Drosophila melanogaster: one gene and its partners. The gene in region 1 interacts genetically with each later gene. Each region holds a gene or a part of one and is shown in the gene's direction. Other genes may lie near its edges.

What was found.
Region 2: of phyl (region 1) and dbr, changing one suppresses a phenotype caused by changing the other (phenotypic suppression), as found in Drosophila melanogaster (one study listed by BioGRID).
Region 3: of phyl (region 1) and chn, changing one enhances a phenotype caused by changing the other (phenotypic enhancement), as found in Drosophila melanogaster (one study listed by BioGRID).

Annotation. Positions count from the first base shown.
Region 1 is NT_033778.4:14,426,805-14,434,297, reverse strand, and holds phyl (phyllopod), read left to right. Parts: upstream 1-1,960; 5' UTR 1,961-2,204; coding exon 2,205-2,390; intron 2,391-5,553; coding exon 5,554-6,570; 3' UTR 6,571-6,962; downstream 6,963-7,493. UniProt on the Drosophila melanogaster protein: Essential adapter component of E3 ubiquitin ligase complexes; involved in R7 photoreceptor cell differentiation, embryonic nervous system, external sensory organ development and specification of particular muscles.
Region 2 is NT_033779.5:64,543-71,897, forward strand, and holds dbr (debra), read left to right. Parts: upstream 1-1,939; 5' UTR 1,940-2,070; intron 2,071-2,133; 5' UTR 2,134-2,461; intron 2,462-2,500; exon of another isoform or gene 2,501-2,846; 5' UTR 2,847-2,965; intron 2,966-3,026; 5' UTR 3,027-3,082; coding exon 3,083-3,220; intron 3,221-3,349; coding exon 3,350-3,481; intron 3,482-3,542; coding exon 3,543-6,007; intron 6,008-6,064; coding exon 6,065-6,353; 3' UTR 6,354-6,848; downstream 6,849-7,355.
Region 3 is NT_033778.4:15,113,768-15,118,467, forward strand, and holds the start of chn (charlatan), read left to right. Parts: upstream 1-1,693; 5' UTR 1,694-1,921; intron 1,922-4,700. UniProt on the Drosophila melanogaster protein: Probable transcription factor involved in the development of the adult pattern of macrochaetae. Required for accumulation of achaete (ac) and scute (sc) in proneural clusters.

The DNA of each region.
Region 1 (7,493 bases):
CAAATTGCATAAGAGATTAAAAAAATTTGATGTACAATTAATAAACAAACAATGGCGTAATAATTGTTTTTAGACGGTACCCTTTAGTTTTGCGTAGTGTAGTTTAGCTTTAATAGTGTTTAATTGCGTAGTCAAAGTCGAAGTAAAATAAATAAGAGCAGTGATTTAAAAATGGGAATACAAAAAACCGAATTTTTTCAAATGCACCAAAACCATTTGTTTAAACATATTGATAGGATCACAATAGAGATCTTGATAATAAATATTTAAATGCTTAACCATAAATCTCCAAAAAAAACTTCGTTATCCCATTCTTATCCTCGATATCTCATCCTGGCACCTTGGGCACTTCCTCTCTTGGGATCCCAGAGATCTACATGAAAATTTGATACGCATATGTCGCGGAAATCGATCGATCGAGGGTCCAGTTCCGGATACATTATTCGTTCGCCACGCAACTCCCTCGCCTGATTCCATTCATGTATTCATTCATCAGAGGCCTCGATTGCGCTTGGAACCTCCGTGCCCCATACTTACTCCTTACTCCCTACTGCCTACTCCTTACTCCCTGCTCCTTACTCCATTGTTTACTATCGTCGAAGATGCGTAGTAAAAGTAGCGGCGAGCAGCGCCAGTTAACCCAGTGTCTGCGATCTGAGAAGATCGTCGCAAATCGGAGGAGCGGACGAAGAAGGTTCGGACGAAAGAAAAAAGGAGAAGAAACATCTGTCGCCACGAAGAAATCCGGTTGCAAGCTGCAACACCACCGGCTCAAAATGAGCAACAACACAGAGAACATATGATTGAACTGCCCGAATGCCGCATAAAAATGGGTAAAAAACGAAAAATCGAAACGCACCTTTTGTGTTTTTGTTTTTTTTTTTTTTGTTTTTGGAGCAGCTGCCGTTGCTGTCGGTGCTTCGTCGCCGTTGCGGAGGATCGACGGGTTTGGGGGGAGCACCAGACTCTGCACTCGGCAGCCTGTTGATGAGCCCACAATGCGCACATGCTGCAAGCTATTCGTGCCGCGGATGATATGGGCTCTGTGTTGAGCCGGCGGGTCCTCCATAATGATAAGTGCCCGTCGAGGAGGCCGTCCACATTAAATTCGGCGTTTGTCGCTCAATGGCAGCTGCCACCGATTCCTTCGGCGGCTTAAGCAAATCCAAAGGACTGGACGCGAGGGACGAGCTTGAGTGTCGAAAGTTCAGATAGGTCAAGTTGTCAAAATATTCGGAGACAGTTGTCGGTGCTTTTCGATTCATTCATAAAATTTGCGAGGCTCTGATCGCTGAATGAATTTGGCAATTCGCCTTGCAAGGCAATAAAATTATAAAATAAGGTTTATCAGCAGGTTAAGAATCATTAACATTGTTATTCCTTATTTTTTATAAATATTTATTTGGCATAAAAGTATATCAGTCATCAGAATTTTATTCGTGGTTAAATTGTCAAACTTCTGCTGCATATTTCCACTGGCACTGCCTTTTGTTATCCGTTTCCTGTTTCAGAATTCGCACTAGTCATCCTAGCAGTCAACATCCCTTTTGGCGCCCTTAAATGTGAACATATGCCGCCTGTTTGTTTTGTTTCGGCTATGTCACCCTTATGGTTGCTTTTTCTCTCACTGCAATATTGGGTTATATGGTACATGTTTTCATTTTTCAAAAACACCAGGCTTAATCTGAGCCCAAAAAATTGCATTTGAGTATAAAAATTATACAAAAATAAATAAATATTTTTAAATTTTGTTTTATATTTGAAAATATATATATGATTTGAAAATATGATATATTTTGCATGACTTTTATTTCATTAGTGTCTAGCTTATCCTTTATCTCTTATTTTTCCCATCGATCCGACAACGCTCGCCACTCTCGCATGTCATTTGCCAGATGTGGCAGCCCGCAGGCACAAATTTTGAAAGTGGTGCCCAGAATGCGATGAGGACAAGCAAGGCTCATTCGAAATTTGTGCGTGCAACGCGAAGGACGTGCCGCTCCGTAGCTCGCTGTCCCGCTCTCGCTCTCCCCGCTCTCTCGCTCTGTCGCACGCGTTCGCCGCTTGGCATTTGTTGTTTGCCACATTTTCGCGGCACCCCAAAAAATCGTGAAAATACAAATACAATACGAGTGCGAAAGTCGAATATCGGCAGAAGTTAGTGCGACCTTTGGTGACGTCAGAGGCTGGGAAAAATCGCCAGGATGTCTACCAATCAGCAGCAGCAGGCGAATCCTTCGGCGGCCGTTGCCGCACCCGCCGCCTCCTCGGAATACCTGAAACGCACCTGCCTCATCTGCGGCTGCCACACCAACCAGACGATCAATATCTACGAGCCCCGCTCCGGACCCAATATCGTTCAGCTAATCCAGGCGAAATTCAAGTTTCAGGTATGGATTTTTCCCAACTTAGAGCAAAAAAAATAAAAACTCAGTTAGGCGGGGAACGTATAAAAATCGATATTGGGGCAACTCGGCGGATGAGTCATGCAACGAAGGAACGTCCTTCGGACAAAGTTTTCCCTCTGCGCGTGTATCCGTGTGTGTTTTTTTTTTTGGGTTAAAAGGGGATGAACTTCGCTGGGCGGAAAATGGGAAAATGGGTGGCACTTCTATAGGCAGGTACAGGTAACTCCCTCACAGCAGCCCACTGGGAAAAAAAGAGTGGCAAGCTATTTGATGATTGATTTCGAGCGCAGTTTTCTAATATTTTTAAGTGATTATTTGCAAAGAACTAAGGTCTCGGAATTAGTAGTTCTATCACAAACTACTTTCTTAATGAAAATTTCAAAATCCTTTATCCCTATTAGTTTTGTGGTATGCCCACCTTTTCCTGTGCCCTTTAAACTGCATATCCTGTCGCCGAGCAGATGATGCATTTCCCCGACAACCTTTGGTAATTGGACACTTTGCATATGTGCCAGTGCCACAGAGCCGCCACTTAGTTCGATTCCTTTCCCATAATTTTTAACAGCTTGTTCTAATATGCGAGCAGTGCGGTGTGTGTGTGTGTGGGAAATGCGACAGCGGAAGATGGCCAGGGAAATCGATCCTGGCTGAAGATCCTGGGCTTGTTTTTCTGTGGAAGTGAGTTTCGGGTCTCGGATTACAGGCACTCCTCCTCACTCAAATGACTACCCATGACTACCTGTACCGGCGGCGCACACATAAACCTGCTCGAAAGGGCAGATGTGCTGTGGATTTGCCGAGATTGCTCCAATTTCTGCGGGCAGTGAACGAACCCGGTGTGTTCGTTCTCTTCGTTTCCATATCCCAAAACGACAGCTGTATTTGCCGGTCGGCACTCAAAATCCAACCCATCGGGGTTTCTGGATCCTCTGCTGCTGCTGCTGCTGCTTCTTTATCAGCTCTTCATGGTCTCGAGTGAGTTTTTTCGCATATCAACTATTGAACTCGGATACCTGGATGCGAGTTCACAGTTTATTGTTTGTGAGACGAAGGGATTTTCCCCAGCAGCATTGGTGGTTGAACCCTTGGAGAATGCCAAATATCTTTGGATAGAAATTCCGGTTTCTTAAGCTGCGCAAATCCAAACAAAGGATCTACCCTTGGAATAGCGTTTACAAAGGTGATTTCAAATGCCCGAATTTTCAGCCGAAGTCCCAGAAGTGCCAAGCTAGACAAGATTTCCATTTAGAGGTCTTCGTTTAGTTTGGTATTTTTGGGAAATAGTTTTTACTAAGGTTTCCGTTCAATTGGATTACAAAGTCAGAATGAGAGTTCTTAAAACGAAGTCCTATAAAAACATAAACAATATTAAGTGGTTGCTAACATAGGTTGTTAAAATATTGGGTAGATATTGGTAGATTGTATTTCCACATATTTTCGGAATATATGTTTCGGTCTTAGATTAATTGAAGCATTGTGCTTAACTAGTATTGTGTGTATAGCAATCAATTTAATTACGAAATGCTCGAGACGCACGCAATGCGATTTCATAATAACAAAAACCCTCAGCTAACCCCGCAATATCAGACACTAGAAGCTCACCCTCTATGCACATAGAATATATATATATTCACCCCCTCCGGACGTCGTTAGAATTTCGTTTGAACCGTTTTTGCGAAACCCTATACGGTGGGCATACACCACCTGCCGTGATCGTAGCCTGGCAACCGATCTCCCCCACAGGAACAACACCCTCGCCGGGTTCTCTATAAGCTCGAGTTCTGAATGACAGTGCCATAAAGTCCAGTTGCAATTACCTTATCAGACTGCGCCCCCCCACCTCCCACTCTTATGCACTTAGAAAAAAGGAACATTACAAATTGAGTAAATATGCAGCTATATTAACAGAAGCACGAAGAGTTGTTTTCAAACTAATAGAAGTACTTTTAAACATATTTTTCATGTGCCCATATTTAACTGATCTTAGGAGTGCACACCTTTTTCTCGCAGTGCATCTGCGATCGGCGTGCGTGCGTGTGCGTGTGTGTGTGTGTGTTTGTGTGGCTTTCTGTCTGCTTTGCACCTGGCCTGCAATTTGCATTATTATACCGTTTACACATGGCCCTTGGAGCACACCTTTTCAGCGCCGAACCCAAAGGTAAACAGCCAGCCACAATCGCTCCTGATCCTTTCTACCCTGCACACCTCCTCCTCCTCTATCGCCATCCTGGTCGATCCTTTCGGTTCCCCGACCCTCGTACCGATCACCTTTATCTAATTTCTCGGCGCAGCTGTCGCGCATGCGCGTGCCTAATGGTCGTCATAGTTGGGGTTTTAACCCAGTTCCCGCTTCGGTTCCACTTCGGCATTATGTGTTTTTTTTTTTTATATATATGGATAGGGCGCGTGGCTCTTGGCCGAAAACGAGTTTCCTTCGAGGCTCGAACTAAGTAGCGAATGTCCCTTTGGCTTGTTACTGGTTACTGGTTTTCCGTACCTTTTGGGCCAGCTGCTACCGCTGGGCGCTTAGTTTTTGCTGGCAGGTGCACGAAATTATTGATACCCGAGGAATGCTGAGGTCTGGCTGGGTAATTAATATGCCCGGGTCGTCTGGCAGTTGTTTTTCGGAATTGTTATGGTCTTTTTTTTTTTTTTGCACCTCTGGCTGGATGCTCATTAGTGGTAGTGGTGGTGGTAGTGGTCGGGTGTCGCGAGCGATCACTAAGTGCATAGGCGTATCGTAATTTTCTAGAGGTTTATTCTGTGGGTTATGCCTGGCTTCAGATTGCGAGTCACGCAATCGGATTTGGGTCAATTTTCATTCTAAGGTTGGTTCCTGATGACCTTAACGGTTTCATGGCTATAATCAATAAATGATTGGCCTTCGTGGCTCTGCAAGTTACAATGTAACCGCCTTCGGTTCTTTCTAATGGCTTTTTATCCTTTACTTGGAATGCTACATATCAGTCTAAGGCAGTAAGCAATTTATAAAATGGGTTATTACTCAGCCATTAAATTAATTGAAGGACCAAATGAGTTTGAATAGTTATGATTAGTATATTATGATTAGCAATAACTTTATAGTCTAGATAAAACTACTTCTACTACCCGTACTCATCTATTCCCTATATATCTCTACTTTCAGCCCCTGAACGAGGACAAATTCCTCTGCTTTAGCTGCAACAACTGGCTGATCAACTGGCACTCCCTGCAGGCGGTCAACAGCAATGAGGCCGAAAGCCAGAGCCAAAGTCCCTCGCACATGGGCAACAGTGTGCTGCAGCAGGAAAGGACGAAGCTCCGTCCGGTGGCGATGGTTCGACCCACGGTGCGAGTGCAGCCCCAATCGCAGCCCCAACTGCAGCCCCAAGTTCCAATTAATCCCACACCCGCACCCATAGTCTATTCGAAGCGAAGAGCCAGCAGACGCAGTGCCTCCGTCAGCCGGATGAGCCGAGTGCTGCGCCAGTGTTGTGTGGAGAGTCTGCGGCGGAGTCCCAAGAAGCGCAATCAGCAGTCGGTGTTCGTCTGTCTTAGGCCGCAGGGCCAGAAGAGGAGCAATGCGATCTGCAAGGTGGAGTGTGTGGCGCCGCGCCGGAAACCAGTGGAGCGACTGGTTAAGGATGTGGCAGCTACAGCTACACCCACACCAGTGCTCAATACACAATCCACGCCCACTTACCAAAGATTCCCGCAGCCCAGTGTGGATGGCAAAGTAGTGGCCATGTTCCGTCGACTGGGAACCACACTCAGTCGGGAAGAACCCGCCGCATATTCAGCAGAATCAAACCCCGCCTGCTCGAAACTCCCGCAGATCATGAGTCCGCTCAAAGAGGCGCCGCGCTGGACGCGGGACCTCGATGATGATGAGATACTGCTGGAATTCGATACCGCCATATCCGAAGTCCTGCCAACTGCCCGCTATCAGGTTACCCACGAGGAGAACAAGGAAAACCAGCAGGCACAAGAAATGGAGCTGGAGCTGGAGGAGGAGGAAGAAGTGGATGGCCGAGCGGAACTGGAAGTGGTGCAGGAGGCGGAAGCGCCACTGGAACCGCAGAGCCACCACAAACAAGGAAACAGCCACCAAAATTCCCACCAAGCTTCAATCCAACTCGCTGGCCTGCGATTACCAATGGGCCTTAGCATTAGCCTCGTCTAAAAACGATGGGTCCAATTGATGCCCCGCACACAAAATAGTCAAATTGCATGCACAATACGCAAATTATGAGCATTAGCAAATGTCTAAGTTAATAGTACCTCGATTACATTTTAATTGTTAGTCAAATACCTTAATTAATTAGCGGACAAAAAAAAACACACACACACAAAACAAACAACAAAAGACCTAAGAATGTTAAGTTAACGGATGTGGAAAGCTATATTTAAAATATACATATTAGTCGTAGGCAAATCCCTGACTTACCCAAAAAAAAAAACAAAAAAGAGAATCCCCTCGAGCCAATGTAGTTGAATTTGTTTGTTTGCTCCAAAAGACAAAAGTATTTCAAAATAACATGCGAAATAAAAATAGCACAAAAGCAATCAGTATATAAATGAATGTTTTTATATTTAAATGTACGGGTGGTATGAATTTTCTATTTATTCCGAGGAATAAGGAGTGATCTTTATGAAAACCAAATTAATTTTACATTTCCCGCCAAATGTTACTCATCCAATTAAATTTTTACGTTGAAAAGTATGCACTTTTTCTCGTTACTAAATTGGGGCTGCCAACTTGTTTTCTTCACGGCGCCAAAAAGTATGCTCTAATTTTTCTGTCTTGTGGCGCCAAAATCAAAATGTAGAACTGCAGAAAATTTTCCTACAGAAAATATTTCTCTTCAATATTTAACATAAAATATGAAGTACGAGAAATTAAATTGTTAATTGTTAAATTAACTAAAATTACTATGTTTTACTTAAAAATTTTCTGCAATATATTTGCTAATAAGTTAACTAATAGAAAAGCTAAGAAAATTCATCACATTAGAAATCCATTTTAAGATATTCCAGAACCAACGAACGACATGCTCTTAAATACATACATATATCATTAGTTTTCGCCTTGCGTGCGAAAGTCCG
Region 2 (7,355 bases), on another chromosome or scaffold:
ACACCACCCTGCACAGAGACCTGAAACTCGCAACGGTATTTGACGAGATAAACCAGCACTCGAGCAGGTACCATGACAGGCTGGAGCGCCACAGAAATCGGCTGGCCAGCGCTCTTAACAGATCTCGCCCACCAAGGAGGCTCAACAGAAGGCAACCGAGGGATCTCATTTCCCGATCTCCTTTGACAAGGGTCAGCAGAAGCTGACGCTTATCAAAAAACCTATTTATTATATGTGTTTGTTATGTACTGTATTATAACTGTATAAACTAGAAAAAGCTAACTATAGTTAGCCGGCGCGCCCAAATGGGCAGAAATAATAGAAAAGAAGGACACAAAGGGGCTCCAAGATTTCCCCGTATGCCTTAAAAAATAAATTTAATTATAAGAAAAAAAAATGCACTGAATCTGTCAGCCTAAAAGTATGCTTCATTTTCGCCCAAACTACATTTTCTATATGTATAAAAAAAATACATATTATATACATAAATATAAGACTAAAAAGGCCCCACCGACAGGACCTATTATTTAGAACGCTGTTGTAACAACTATCTTGATTGTTAATATAGGAACATGACAAATATTTACCCTTGTAAATATGTAAAAATTCGTTAACGTTGAATCAATACAATAGTATTATTAATTTCCCTCCTCAAATATATAATTGTTTAAGATGCCTGAAGGTAGCAGTACAATAATTTAACTACGTGTATCCAAACTTAAAATAATATGTAAAATACATAAATTGGTAAATAACAAGAAAAAAATGTTGCCGATCAAATGCGCTCGTAAATTTTAAAATACCTGATGAGATGTAATTCGGGCAATTTGTACACATTCGTTGCACACCATTTTGCATTGATGTCTATCTGCCAACGATAATAAAAAATACATTAAAAATGTACGTTAAGCAAGCTTTCACACAACGGAAAGGTGTTTAGGTAAGAATTGGGTACCAGGGCGCACATATCCTTGATTTTTTTCATCTAAGGATAAGAAGAAATGATATAATCTGGCCCGTCCCGACTTATAAACTACCTAAGACTTTTGAAAAACTTTCGTGCAGATCTGTATGCAGCTTTAAACTGAGGGACTGACGACGGACGGCGATGAACACTGAGTTTGATACTGATCAAGAATATATGTATGTATATACTTTAATGTCTCCCACACTGCGCATCAAGGTTTTTACTGGAATCAATATACTCTCTGCAAGGGTATATTCCTATACACTTAAATGACTTAAATGTACAATTGTATGTACATATTTATGTTAATGTAAATAGTCGTGTGGCTGCTTCATGAAATAAATGCGATAGTTCGGAGTATTTTCCAAACCTTTTGCATACCTTTTGGCGAACGGATGCATTTAAGCCCAAGGAATATTCATATTCGTACATATGTATGTCTATAGGAAAGCAATTTGTATAAATGTGCTAAAAGCATTGCACAGCCATATTAACGTATTTATTAATGTTGATTTTAGAGTAAAAGTTACCCCAAGATATTGATTCTTATGTATAGATTTAAAATAACAAATCATCACCCATATTTCTGACTGTTGTTATTTAAGATATGTGTAAATATGTACACACATATATAAATGCATATATAAACATGACTAGGAACTCGCCTAAAAATCCAAATTCTGCACACTTTAGGCTTGAAGAAAATTCAAAAAGTTTGCCTACTTATTTGTTTTACGTCAAAATGAAGAGACTGTGTTTTCCAAGTCCAGTACGTCCACATCGCACTTATTGCTAATACGAAAGCTTGATTTTAAATTTTTTCTTATGCCCACATTTTGGCGTAAATGCACGAATACATAGACATAGTGAATCACAAAATCTCAGGAAAATAGCTAAAATGGCAAAAGAAAGATCAGAAGCATAAGCTCTAAGGCACGCAAACAGAGAACAACCAACACTATCAAAATGAATGACAACTAGTTTTAGTTCAAGGAGAGCGCTTCATGCGAGGAATCAACGTAAATAAAGGCACCAACAGTTGATAAGTGAGCGAGTCGTCTTTTACTTTACGAGCGGCAAATTAATACATAATATGTATGCACGTATGTATTTTAATAAGGGAAGTAATAGCTTTTGAATATGCAATCGCCTTCAACGGTATTTAGATACACCTTAAATACCCGGTCGCAAGAAAAAACTGGTGGAAAGAAAAACCAGCCGACTACATTTACGCCATTGAGGCCACATGGATAGAGCGGAAAACTGGCTGTGCGCCATGAAACAGACGGACACCAAGCCCGCACACATATACACCAGCGCTCGAAAAATAGAAACAAAAGTCGTGTAAGTGTTTAATACAAGCAACAGTCAGGGAGCACGCACACCATCACCGGCGGTGCAAACAACGTAGGAGAGGCGAGAGCAAAGAAAGAGTACTGTAAGCCATCAGCGCGAAACTGTGTGTGTACGGAAATGCATTAGTATGTGTGAGTGGTGAGTGTAATGGCAAACGGCAGCAACATTTATTTCGCTCAGTTTTATTTCGTTTTTTCGTCGCAACGCAAGTGCTGGTGAAATCGTTGTGGCAGAAGTCTATTTTAAGTGAATAAATCTTTTATTGTGCTCATGTTCGTAATTCCAAAACGTTCGTCGAGACTAAAAGACTTCTGCAAAGCTTTCGAGAAAAGAATAAATGGAAAAATACTATTTTCCACAAAAACATAGCATAGCAATTGTGAACAGCGTAAAACGAGGAAAGCAAAGATCTGCTTCTGTTTCTCACTCTCTCGGACTTGCGCTCTCCGCTTTCAATGATCAATACATTTACAGTTTGTTATTATTTGTTTTTCATTTTGCCTTTTGTTTTGCACGCTCTCAGTAACCGCGCGACGACTTTCTCAAATTGCAAGTGTAAAAAATTCATGAAAACGAAGTAGTGGGCAAGGCGAACTGCATTGCAAATGGTAGTGTGTGTGTCTAAATTTGGTGTTAACAAGAGTAAGCCTATTACACCGAACCCCTGGGATTTTTAAAAAATTTTTCTGCATTTTGTCATCAGCATGTTGGGCTTGACGCTTTGAGATAGGAAATAAAAGGCGCATTCAAATTCGTAACATGGATGCTCAGTTTGAGCACTTGTGCCGCATTTGCGCTGCCAACACGAAAAGCAAGACGAATTCCGTGGTTGAAAGTGTGTTTATTTTTAAAACACAGGGACTGAAGGATAAAATATCTCGACACCTTTATCTAAATGTAAGTAAATAAAAAGGAACAGCCTGTTTGGCGCTGCATCAAATTTAATCCTAGATCTGAATAAGTATCAAAACAAGACCTCCGCGTACTTGCTAAGACTCGACATTTAAAAAACGTATTTCTTTTTAGGTAGCTGAAGAAGATCCTCTGCCAAAAGTGCTCTGCAAATCTTGTTACCGCCAAGTAGAGGCCACGGCGTCGCTTTCAAATATAGCAAAACATACTCAGCTCGTGTTTCGGGACTTTCTCCTTAGTACACTGGTAATCGATTATATACCACTTATATATAATCAGCAAGCTTACAACTTATTAAATCTTCCAGCCTAAGAATGCGAGGGAAGCGGCTGCTGCACAACTGAGCGTTCCAGCAACCCAAATCCCACACCGACACGACGAAGTCCAAGCGGAAATCGATGAATTTCGCCCCATTTTGCTGACCCACGTGCCGGAGTCCGGAAACACCGCTTCCAAGCCCCAACCAGCCAATTGCCTGGAGCTGGCCCCAAAAACCGGCGAAAACTACTTGGCTGCATCTTCCTCATCCTCTTCTCTGAGCAAACCCGCTGGATCAGTAAAGAGCTATCTTAACACTGGGAGACGCAACAGCGTTTTTACAGACACTAGGTATGGATCGGCCCCACTGTCTATCGCTCAACGAACTATGCAGTGTCTGCCTTCTTTGGTGCCCCTAAACACAGAGTCATTGGGTAGCAACGCAATGAGAAAGAGCCCAGACACAAAACTATCGCCGAAAGGAGTAATAAACTTCATCCAGACTCATGGGCGCATCACGGGCAATATACCTGAAGTCCAAGCAGAGGACAATACCGGAAACATCAACGTGACAGATAGCAGAAACACAGTTACAGCTTCCGTTCTTATTTCTTCAAACGTTAGCAATCCAGGAACGAAATCTCAGGACAGTAATTTGTTTCTGCAGAAAAGTAGAAATCTTAAAAACACATTAAACAACATTAAAGCCATGCGTACCGGACAGGTATCACTGCTTAAGGGTGCGCAAAATCGAAACCCTATTGAAGATGTTAGACCACTGGTCACAACTACACTGGTACCCCAATATGGTGGTGAACCTTCCGTGGAGGAAGCACTGCCAGAGCACATGATCTTTGCGGCGCCAAAAAAGAAAAGGGAGGATGAAGAACAATTTCTTCAAACGGCTCTGCCACAGCTAAAGAAAACTGTGCCAAGTCAATCTAAGACAAAGTCCACAAAACTCGATTTAACTATATCGGTTGATTCGCATGTTTCACCCCCGTCAACGTCAATTTCTAATGTTAAAAGCCTCACTGATGCAATATTCCTGGGAAGCGTTATTAGGGATCCAGACTTGTTGATGCTTATTCTCAAGGCTCTAAAATGGCCGGTGACAGCAGAAAACTGTGATGAGCAAATGTCCCGCTTAAAAAGTTCAAAGTTCGCTGTTATAATGTCAGACACAAACCTTCTTCAAGACACAGATCTCACACAACTTTTAGGTCCATATTTGGCCCCAATGCTGCCTGTGGTTCAGCAACAAGATCAGCATCCACTTTCCTCAGCTATCGGGTCTGCTTCTTCAAACCATTCATCGCAGGCGACTAAAGATGTACTTAAGCTGGCTGACTTATCTAGTGCAATGCCTTATAAACTTCCACCAGAAACGTCGGTTCAATTAGTGCCTTCCAGTCCCACGGAACAGGAACCGCAGCCTGTGCGTCACAAAAAGGCGGTTAGCGTGCCAACTGTCAAACGCCATCAACGAAAGATGCGTGCCCTTGATTTACCTGCTGTTGACAAGACGCGCCGCATAATTTCGTTATCGACTTCAAAGGCAGCTTATGTCAGCAACGAACTGTCGAATATCAATTCTGTGCTTTTTTCGCAGTTCGAATCAAATCCGGCCGACGCTATTAATGAAGCGCTTATCTCACTCCTTAAGCAGCAACAACAAGAAACAAAAGACCAGCGAAAAACTCGTCAGAGTTGTATTGGCTCTGACAGTGCAGTTAATTTAGAAGACATTGTACTGATCGATCCCCAACCGCCTCTTGCAGTCGATCCGCATAATGTGAAGTACCTTGAGGATGACTACGTCTCTCCGCAGTCCCAGCCCGGATCCCAATACAATTTTAAAAGGCGCAAAACAGACATTCGGTCATCAGAGCCGTCTGAAGTCGTTGTGCTCGATAACAGCGGATCCCCAAATGAAAAGAATTCAAAAGAAGTATTTCCAAGTACGAAACAGACTTTATCCAGAGAAACAAAGAAAAGTGCGGTAACTGTTAGAAAAGAATCTTTGGGTCAGCTAAAGCAGGCACCCACAAGTACCGTCCCGGAAGACATTTGCGATCCTAAAGCCAGAGCCATTAATGCGAAAGAAAATCCCGAAGTGTGTGAACCAGTCCCGGACAATGGAGGTAGTGACGATATTGATGATAGCAAAGCAGGCTCGGTATCCGTTCGGAAGTCGGAAGTCAAAGCTGCGCTTGGACAAAAGCTTTTGGAGGCTATTGGACTTTCTCAGTTGGGAGCCGATGCAGCGCCTGAAAACTCCCGCGACACTCTTAGAAGTGCGTTAAAGCGCTCTATAAAACAGGCCCAGGAGCAACAGCTTCAGCTGAAGCGAGGCAATCATGAAGAACCTGTGAAGCAACTTGCCGATTCCACAACCAAGCTAAGTGCAGCAGAATCGGCAGATGAGCATAAAAAAGCAATTGCCGAGCGGGAGCTGGCCCTGCTGAATCGTGGATTTAAAGCAGGAGAAGAAAACACGATTTCCCTAAAAGAGTGAGTTGTAGATTTATTGATACGGACTTTATTTAAAATGTTTACCGTATTTTTTAGTGATAAGTGGGAGCGAACTGATGTTAGTTCTTCATCATCAAGAAACCGCCGAGGACGTAAATCAAAGATTGATTCCAACGTCGAGGATTTTGGCGATGAAGAAAAAAAAGACTCTAGATGGGATGAAGACGATGACTTGCCGTTAAAGGCAGATACGGAAAAACCTTCAGAACGGAACAGCACCAACGCCCGACCGACCCGTACTAGCAAAACGTTATCAAAGTATTATAAAGGACCAACTTCTAAATCACATCATAGCATGGGTACGCGCTCGACACGACAGCGCTGAGATATGCTTTATATCCTTCATATAAAATATGTGGTTTTATTTTGGAAAATATTAAATACCTATTTTACGTCCCTCTAAGATGCACATGTAATTGTGTACAATGTATACTCCCATTTAAAAACTAGTATAGTTGTATTAACTTTATTAAAAGCAATGGCTGGAGTCTACACACGAAAATAAGTCAAGAATAGTACAACTATTTAAAGAATAACACGATTTGGTTGAAAAAATTTCCTTACGTATGTAAATCGATTAATTATTCAGCGCTTAAGTTTTCTTTTGGGTTAAGTTTTGAACATATAATGTACCTTCTGGTGTATGTTAACATAAAATCCAGAATATGCCTTTAGACAGCAGAACGGAAGATATTTATTTGGTTTACAGTCTTGAATCTAAGCTGTATTTTTGTAGTTTTAATTAAACTTTTGTTTTTAATAATAACGGTACCGAAAAATAATTTTAAATAATGTAAATAAATAATGATGCTGAAAATTTAACAATTGCAACGTCTTTTCTAAACATCATCTTAATTGATAGTTCACAAACTTATTTAAGTTCAAAAGCAGAAAGAATGTAAGCTTCGACAGGTCATTTCGATCATTAATAACAATTTGATATACACCACTTTTGTATATGTTTCGGTAATGATAAAATCGGTTGTGATATATCTGCTTTAGAAACAGCAGGAAAATGAATGAAAACAGCTAATAGGCAATTGCCTTAAAAACTTGCACATACGAATGTAAATATGTATGTACATATGTACATCAATCTCTTTTTACAAAGCACACAGCGCGAGGTCTAATGGCTGATTCAGACAATGATAATGTGCAAAACAAAATATCAGTTTGAAAAGCTTCGCGACGTGTGGCGGTTGTTGAAATCGAGCAAGTCAAAATATGTACACATGTAGGTTTATGTGAACGCCCCAGTGATTCTAAGAATGAAGAACATATACTTGTTCAATAAAATATTGTTTTTATTTAATTATTAGCATCAAAC
Region 3 (4,700 bases), 690 kb from region 1:
TTTTGTTTGCGTGTGTGAGTGCAGCTGAAGAGGCAACTGTAAAATTAGGTTAGCAAAGGAGTTTTGGGGTCTGTGGTGTGGGCTATGGGTTATATGGCTGACTATGTGGTCACATGTGCAATTTGATTAAAACTTGGGTGCCGCTAAAAAAAACTGCTGTCCTCAAGTGACGGAAAAAGTGGACGAAAAAATGACGAAAATCTAAAAATGAACGTCGTCATGGCTAAGTGGTAGCCATTTTTTACCTGCAATCGTTTTGCCACTCGACTGAATGGTTTTGCGGCTAGGGCAAAAACATAAAATCCGCGAAAATTAATTAAAGATTGCGCACCTTACGCTAATCTGTTTTAATGAAATTCCCTTTTATGTTTTTTCTTGGCCTTTAAAGTGGAGTGGGTCATCCTACAGATGAATAAATCCTATTTTTTGTCTGCAATGTTCTCTTTCAATGTATCATGTCAGTACTATTTAATTAGTATTTTATTATTAATGTATTATGCAAAGCTGCTGGCCTTCTTAAAATAAGTAGTACATTGTACTAATAAACCAAGATTATAATATTTTATATATCGAGGATTAAAACAGTTTTTGTTTGGCAGCTTTTTGGCAAAAAATTATAAATACGAGTGAGCATTTTAAAAACATTTTACAAATTGACAGAGTTGGCATGACTAAGCATTGTACATGGCTATAATCCAGTGAATATGTTTATTGATCAAATAAAATTAATCAAATAACCGTATGTAGAATTCTAGGTGGTAACTTAAACTCTACAAGTGTAGCAATTCGGAAAGCAGCTCCAAAATAGTTCGCAATGGGTTAGTGACACAGCTAATATTAGAAGGTAGTAATCGTGTATGATGTAATGTAAAATTATTGTAAAATGGAACCGGAAATGTAATTTTTAAGGAGGATTGCAAATGAAATTCAATTTCAATAGCATTCTATGTAATGGAAATTCTTTTAAGCTTAACAAATGAAAGCTTAACAAATAAGAAAATTGGTCTTTAAAAATCATATGTTGTTGTTTAATTAGTCAAATAATAAATTCAACTATTATTATACTTACAGATAATTAAAAAAAATAAATAACTTAAGAGATTTTTTGCTGTGGCCTTTTTTCCGCGCTGAATACAATTAATTCGATGTTTTCGGATGTTTTCGGCGCGACTATCGATAATACCCCGATACTGACAAATAAAAAATAAATTATTTTTTTATTTTAATATACTCTTTCTTAATTTAAGTCAATTAATAAGTCTATTTATATATTAGAATCGTTTTTTTAGCTTAGTGACAAAGTTTTGCCGGAGAGTCCACTTGTTATGCGTGGGAGCGTGAGCGTTGCGGAATGCGCGCGCTTTTTGCAATTGTGGAAAGCGGAAAAGCGGAGGGGTGTCAGAAGAAGAAGCAGGGCGGCGCAGACAGGAAGCTTTTCCCACAATTGCACAACGTCGGAGAGGTATTATTATTACGCGACAGGCAATCGGCGCGGCAACAACAGCAAACTAAGCAACGCATCGCAGACGCAAAAACAAAACTAAATATTACAACATATTTACTTGGCCCAATAGGGGGAGGGACGGGAAATTTTCCGCCCAACCCATCAGCCACCCCAAAAGAGTGGGTGGCGGAGAATCGCCGTAGGATCCGCTCCTCCGCGACCATTCATATTCATTCAGTCACGAAATCTCATTCGGTGTGTGAGTGTTGATGAGGTTAGTTGTGAAACGCGGTCCGTTCTCGTTAAGTCGGAAAACCGAAAAGTGCATCAAGGAAATCATTTAACAAATCAGTGAAGTAAATTAATTTCCAGCTGCAAAGGAGAAACACAAACCTACTAAACAGTGTGCCGCGCGAAAAGAGGCGAAAAAGTGTTGCATACTCCGGGGCTGGCTGCAAAACCTCCGCTAACATGTTGGTAAGTTGGTGAATAAAATATTTTAAAACAAATCGGATCAGAGTAGCATGGAGTATCTATTAATTGATTTTCCTGGGAGGGGGGGCCTTTCCATATCTATTTTCCAAGCCAAGTGATTTATTGATTTTTCCGCAATGCGTTTGTGTGTGTGTGTGCGTATCTTTTTCGGTATGCACTTTTTCCAGAGAAACATCCCACTGGGGGCAGCAACCCCCAACTAAAAAGCGCCAACTTCTATTTTTCCTTCATCAATACTTCACACAAACACACACACGCACACAGTGGAATAAAAACAAATGGTATTGGTGTGTGGATTGGAGCAGGCGCTCTATGCAACGGTATAGCAACCCCCAAACAATGCACAACCCACCCTCTTTCTCGCTCTCGTTATGGCTTTGAAGGGTATTACTATCCCGCTCTCGCGACAATAGCTCAACTGTTTTGGCATTTGAAAACTAACTGCCGCCCCCATCCCCCCGCACCCACCTATCGTAACCCCCTTAGTTTCTCGCTCCTGGGTGGGTGGTTGTTTTTCACAGCCGGAGCACATCATAAATTTTGTGTCTATAACAATTTTTGTTATATTCAACCACCCCACCCACCTACCCACCACCCCAAAAAGCGACCCACACCCCTTATCAAAAAAGTGCAAAGGAATTGTGTTGCACTTTCGAGAGTTCAACTTCCGTTCGTTCACTCTCGCGCTCTCTGGGAAAATAGAAAATAACGGCACAGGCTTGCGCTCTCTCCAAAGAGAGAGATGCATTTTCATTTCGATTCGATGGGGGGTTTTGCATATGATTTTTTGGGGTTTCGGTTTTTATGCAACATATGCGACTACATATGTATGCATATGTATGTAGGAGTTATATAATTTGTATTTGATTATTTTGCCTTTGACGAATTCCGTTTGTGGCATGGTGTTTTCAAATGAAAACTAAAAATGTGTGGTTTTTTGTTGCCATGGGCAATATGGTGAAAATTTGTGGGTGGCAATGTCTGCTGCAGAATGCAAATAACTGCATTCGAGTGCTTTATATATATATTTATATATATAAGATTATATTCCCACGCACATATTTTATACATTTATATATTATATGGAAAATGCAATTTGTATGCAGTCGAATTGCACTTGCCCGGGATTATGCCTATATAAATAAATACTATGTACGGGGTAGGGGGATACCGGCAACGGAATTTCGTTTCATGGCGTCTCCATGGATTATATATAGAAATTAGTTGTGTTTTTGAAGCTGCTTACATAGACTGACAGCTTAATTGCTTTTTACTCGTCGACAAAAATTGATTTTAAGCTCGAGTTAAACGAAGCCAAGCACTGGAAAATGCCTAGAATGCAACGCATATTCCTTTAGATTGGAAAGTAAAGGGGTGGAAAACGGAAGCAGACTATAAGACAAAGTTAAGCAAGTTCGTTAAGCAATAACAACTAAGTGAGTTCGTTAACCCAACAATACATGACAGCATTGTTGAAAACTTTGACTAAAATTGGAAATCATTATATTAGCGATCACTTTCTTTTATTTCCAAAAGAACCTTATGTACTTTTTGAACTTGATTCTTTGGTAGTCACTACATAACATGAAAAAAGCGTAGCGATCATTTGATTTTATTCTTAGCCGCAAACTGACTATTTCCTGTTGACTTCATTTCATTCACACTCCCCACGCTGATGATGATGATTGAAAAAATCACCCAGGGGCCAAGACCCAGTGACTCACCCGACCGCAAGGCAAGCCAAGCGGAGACTGTACCCAACCCAATGCTCAAAACAAACCCAGTCTCGAAAACGCACACACACACACACACACTACCCACCCACTCAGACAAAGTGGATTCGAGTTGGGAGTTCGGAGGGAGTTGCGCATGCGTGGCCGTGTCCCACGCCCACTCGTCAAGGGGTGTCTCCACATAGGAAAAACATTTACGGAAATCTAAAGATTTGCTCTTTGAAATTATGTTAGAACTCACTTGATCTATAGGAAGTCACAACTAGTACTACATTTTCATTGTTTGAATCCTATATCAACGGGATATAACAACATATAGGCAACGTATTATAACAAATGCCTACATAGACAGTATGCAAATTTGTACCAATAATGTCCCCTCTTTTTTCTCTGTGCATGTTGGATGTGAGATAGTGTACGTATATAAAGGGTTGGAGCGAACTATACAGTGGGAACCAGTGATCGCACAACCACCCCCGGGGTTCCCAAGTTAAATGAGACGTGACAAAGTGCAAGAGTTTCGACCCCTTTGAGAAGTGCCAGGCAGATTTCCTCTTCACAAGTGGCGCCCAAAATGGGAAGCCCTATTCCAGCGAGGAGACTTTCTCCCAACTGCAAAACCGAAGAAGGGCTTCGTCTTCAGGGGCAACAGGTTTTGCTGGCCGTAGGAAGCCATGTGCTGCTGTAATTGGTCAGGCTCATTACGGGGATCGTTGGTTATATCACAGCTTGCACCGGGCCAAGGATGGACTAACGGGTCCACCCAGGCCCAGTGAGCACTGCCTCCGAAAGAACCTCTCAGGGGGATTCGAGGTGGCCCACATGTTGTCCACTGACGGCTGCTCACGAACCGGTTCCAGTCACCAGGCAGCTCCTTTATCCGCGATCATCATCATCTCCATTTCCATCACCACCATCATCATCATCTCCTTGGCCGGCCACTTCCACTTGAGTGGCAATGAAGGCAAAGTAGGGTGCTCAGGCTGCTCCATTTCGAGGGTTAACCTGTTTGCAGTTACCCTACGGTT